2 linked regions of the Kluyveromyces lactis genome follow. The main gene of each other region encodes a partner of the protein of the gene in region 2 in a complex. Links are inferred from orthologs where the notes say so. Each region holds a gene or a part of one and is shown on either strand. Other genes may lie near its edges.

Region 1 (2,242 bases), on a different chromosome or scaffold from region 2:
AATACCCAGTTGCCGCAAACCATTTGATACTAGTAACGAAAAAGTACTTGTTGCAGACAGCTCCTTTAAGTCCCAAAGATTTGTTAACTACTTATAAATTATTGCAAGAATTAGATGACGAAGATGAGATGTTGAGACATTTGGCCTTCTATAACTGTGGCCCAAACAGTGGTTCTTCTCAGGATCACAAGCATCTTCAAATCCTTCCATTACCTTATAAATTCGTTCCTTACCAGGATAAGTTATGTAGTGGTAAAGAACATTTCATTCCGAACGCTAAGACTGAACCTTTACAAGATGCAAAAATCCCATTTGCACACTACGCCGTTCCATTACCTGAGGATCCTGAAAAAGTGGATGAAGATCTACTAGCAATGACATTTGTATCATTGTTGCAGAGAACTTTATCTATGTTCCAGGATTGGGAGGGAAGTAACGCAGAAAAATCAAATGACGATGAGGCCAGTATTCCGGCATATAACGTGCTGATGACAAAAGAATGGCTATGTTTGGTGCCTAGATCGAAGGCATTTGCAGAAACTCCTAGTATTGGCTTCAATGCTACTGGATACGCGGGTTTAGTGTTGGTAAAGTGGGATGAGACTTTGAAAGTCCTCAATGAAAACCCATCGGCTGTGACCAAATTGCTATTAGAGTGTTCCTTCCCTAGCACTGCAGGCGCTAAACCAACAGAATATCACTATTGAATAAGCTTTAGTGTGAAAAATAAGTCTATGGGCTGCCCCCAGGTGGCTAACACACTTTCTTATGTTTATGATGTGAATTCATGGTTCACTGGTAAAATTGCTCGATGGTTGATTTCCAAAGCGGACTGGCTACTAAACAATCACGTATAGTAAATAATTGTGCAATGCAATACCATCAATAGATTTCGACTAGTTACGGGCTATCATGAAGGCAACTCACCAGTGAAGTTCCAGAACAGACGATGGGCGTCCGCACTTCGGTTCAGTAGTGATCACGTGATATTTGACCAATGAATTTCGATAATTTAAAATATATTATGTGGTGTACCTGTTTCTTAGTCAGTACTAACCAGTTCTTCGATTTTTTTGAGTTTTTCGGTTTTAACGCTTAATACATAATATTAGCTCGATAGAAACAATTTTTTGCAGATTATCAAAACTTTTCATTCAATACATTACCACTAAACATTGGTAACATTTTGTCAAAGTTCCATTTACTTTACGAAGCTTTCCGATTTGTTTCAGAGCTTCTGACTTATTCTTAGAAGGCCGAACGCTCAAGTAACAACCACGTTTCACATTACAAATGCCACAAACATTTACTTCTATTGCTAAGATCGGTGACTACATTTTAAGAACCCCAGCTCTTGCTAAAGTTGTCGTTCCAATCGCTCACCAGTTCATCAACTTGTCTGGTTACAGAAAGATGGGTTTGAGATTCGATGACTTGATTGAAGAAGAGAACGAGCTTGCCCAAACTGCTTTGAGAAGACTACCAGCCGATGAATCCTACGCTAGAATTTACAGAATCATCAATGCCCACCAACTATCTTTGTCCCACCATTTGTTGCCAAAAGATAAGTGGACCAAACCAGAAGATGACATTCCATACTTGACTCCTTATTTGTTGGAAGCTGAAGCCTTTGTTAAGGAAAAGGAAGAATTGGACAACTTGGAAGTTGCCAAATAATCTCATCCTTGACTGAATTATTCAAAATATCATTCAAAAAAATTACTCATGACCCTCTGACGAAGAGAAAGAAGAAGGAAACACATTACATTATGATCGCAAAAGATTTCAAATTCAATATATCCGTTACTTGCATAGCCAGCTAACGCAGACGCTATTATCGTTATCATATTTTCTTCTAGGAATGAAACAACTTATTTATCTCTAAACTTTGTGAATATCAACCTCTGACAAATATATCTTTATTATTCTAACTTATGTATATATATCTATATATACCAATCTGATTTACATCATTCATTTTTGATACTTTCATTTAAAATTGGTTTTACCAAAGTATTGGCATCGTTACTATTAATTATGTTCTGGTATTGATGGTATTATGTAATTTCTCATAGTAATTAAGCGTTTGGATATATTGATATTTGCTGGAAAAGAAAATATAATGATTGTGGTATAATGTTACATGTGAGGAAAAGGAATTGTCCTTTTGCAATACTACAATTTTGATTCCCACGAAGTGACCAGTTCTATAAAGTTTGGGTCATAACGCGTAATAACCGAA
Region 2 (2,889 bases):
AATTTTATTTAATATAATATATATATTAAATAAAAAAAAGAATATTGAAATAATTTTATTATTAATTACTATTTAACATTTTTAAAATTAAAATATTTTCCCCGCGGACTCGTCCCCGGGATACCCCGGGGACGAGCCGCGGGGTTTATATTATTTTCATAATTAAATAATACTTTTTTTAATTTTAAACTATTACTCTTCCCCACGCGGCTCATCCAACCCTTTATGAGGGTTGGATGATGCCGCATTTGCGGGGCTTCTAAATCTAAATATTCAAATAATAAATCCCCCGCGGTCTCATCCTCTGGGATTACCAGAGGATGAGCCGCGGGGTTAATTATGTTTTGATTTTACTTCATTATAACATTTATAATATTCTTCCCCACGCGGTACACCCAACCCTTTATAAGGGTTGGGTGATGCCGCATTTGTGGGGCTTATTTTGATTTAAATTTAATCATTATTAATATTTTGAGAATAATATCTTTTTTGATTATTATTAAAAATAGATAAAAAAGAATATTGATTAGTTAAATTATTACCTTTAATAATTACTTTGCATTTTTTCTACCTACATAGAATAATACATTTTCAATTGTTGATACAACTGGTACAATAACTAAGAAGTATGCAAAATAAATTACAGTAGCAATTTGTCCCATTACAACAAAAGGAGGCTCTACATGACATTCTCCTAAGTGGCCTAATAATACAAAGTTAGCAATAAATAAGAAGAAGAAGAATTTAGAGAATACTTTAAATGCGTTACCTCTAATAACACTTCTATCTGTAATAGGTAATACTAATAAAATTAAAATAGCACCAAACATAGCTAATACTCCTAATAATTTATCAGGTACTGATCTTAAAATTGCATAGAATGGTAATAAATATCATTCTGGTACAATAGATGCAGGTGTAACTAATGGATTACCAGGAATATAGTTATCTGGATGTCCCATTGTATTAGGTGAGAAGAATACAAATAATGAGAAGAAGAATAAGAATACAAATACAGTAATTAAATCTTTAAAAATAAAGTAACCATGCATTGGTAATCTATCTAAATTACCTGTAACACCTAAAGGATTTGATGAACCATGTGTATGTAATGCCATAAAATGCATAATTACAAATGCAGCAATAATAAATGGTACTAAATAATGGAAAGCGAAGAATCTTTGAATAGTAGGATTAGAAACTGAGAATCCACCTCATAATCATGATACAATATCATTACCAATAAATGGAATAGCTGAGAATAAATTAGTAATAACTGTAGCACCTCAATGACTCATTTGTCCATATACACAACAGTATCCTAAGAAAGCAGCAGCCATTGTTAATACAAAAATAATAACACCAACATTTCATACTAATGTTCTAGGAGCTCTATATGAACCATAATATAAACCTTTACCAATATGAATATACATACAAATAAAGAAGAATGATGCACCATTAGCATGAGCATATCTAATAAATCATCCTCCTTGAACATCTCTCATAATATGTTCAACAGCTGAGAATGCTAATTCAATATTAGATGAATAATGCATAGCTAAAAAAATACCTGTACAAATTTGAATTACTAAACATAATCCTAATAATGATCCTAAATTTCATCAATAATTAATTGATGAAGGTTGTGGTGAATCAATCATATAACTATTTAATAAATTTAAATAAATATTAGATTTTCTAAATGACATATTTTATTTGAATTATTATATTTTTAAATATATATATAAATATAATATATATTAAATATATAATATAAATATTATATATTCCCCACGACGAACGTCGTGGAGGAGCCGCGGGGCCCTTATATAAATATGACCCCCGCGGATCACCCGACCCTTTATGAGGGTCGGGTGATGCCACGGGAGAAAGGGATAAATATATAATTATAATAATATAATTATGTATAATTTATATATATTATTTATATGAATATCCCCGCGAAATTATTTATAATTTCGCGGGAGATAAATAAATATTTTATAAATATAATATTATTGTATTATATATATAATAATATATATATAATAATTATTATAATAATATAATAAATATATTATTATCAAGTAATTTGATACATATATAATATATATGTATATTGATTATTATTTTATAATTATATATTACTTCTAATATATCCCACGGATATACTTGGTAATATATCCAGCCCCCGCGACATGACCCTTTATGAGGGTCATGTCGCGGGGGAGAAGGGATTATAAAATATATAACCTTAATCGGAATTGAACCGATATTTTCAACATGAAGAGATGATGTCGTAACCATTAGACGATAAGGTCTGTTATATTAGAGATTCGAACTCCAAACCTTTCGATTACAAAACGAACGCTCTACCAATTGAGCTAATATAACTACTATTAACTTATATATAGATTCCCCCCGCGGCCTCACCCAACCGTAGGGTTGGGTGTGCCGCGGGGGGTAAGTTAATTAAAACTATCTCGCTAAATTATCCCTATTTAAGGGAACTAATTTATTATTTTATATATATAGAATATATAAAAATATATATATATATATTATGAAAATATATGCCTAAAAGGCGAATTGTAATTTCTTCCCCGGGGCTCACAACCTAGGTTGTGAGCCGCGGGGTAATCATTATTTATTAATTTTATTATATAATATATTAATATATAATATACAAAAATATATATATATATATAATCCTCGTATTTCAACCCATAAGGAATTGGGAGATTATATAATATGTAATAAAAGGGTATATATAATAATAGAATACCCCGCCATATTGCCAATATTGGCAATATGGCGGGATTATGTAAATATATAAACTCCCGCCATTAGTCGTATGACTAATGGCGAAATACTAATTTATTATTA

The links. Proteins that work in one complex are often made in the same cells at the same time.
Region 1: the proteins of CYTB (region 2) and QCR7 are in contact, whole or in part, in a cryo-EM structure (PDB 8Q1B), measured with the Schizosaccharomyces pombe proteins. The link is inferred for Kluyveromyces lactis from reciprocal best matches to the Schizosaccharomyces pombe genes cob and qcr7. Residues at the interface, in YP_011104932.1 of Schizosaccharomyces pombe: Ser24, Asn25, Lys107, Tyr108, Pro109, Leu210, Val212, Thr213, Ala214, Met216, Asp217, Phe310, Ala312, Ile313, Arg314, Ser317, Phe318, Asn319, Pro320, Phe321, Ile372, Gly374, Asn375, Thr376, Leu377, Ile378, Asp379, Leu380, Asn381, Leu382; in NP_588364.1 of Schizosaccharomyces pombe: Lys2, Pro3, Val4, Ser5, Leu6, Ala7, Ile10, Gln11, Thr17, Leu20, Leu21, Ile23, Ser24, Asn25, Tyr27, Val28, Leu30, Ser31, Gly32, Tyr33, Arg34, Tyr36, Tyr40, Asp42, Leu43, Met44, Leu45, Glu46, Glu47, Asn48.

Annotation. Positions count from the first base shown.
Region 1 is NC_006039.1:60,621-62,862, reverse strand, and holds QCR7 (ubiquinol--cytochrome-c reductase subunit 7), read left to right. Parts: upstream 1-1,293; coding exon 1,294-1,677; downstream 1,678-2,242. Other genes in the region: KLLA0_C00847g (uncharacterized protein), read left to right, coding at 1-707.
Region 2 is NC_006077.1:20,116-23,004, forward strand, and holds CYTB (apocytochrome b), read right to left. Parts: upstream 1,713-2,889; coding exon 552-1,712; downstream 1-551.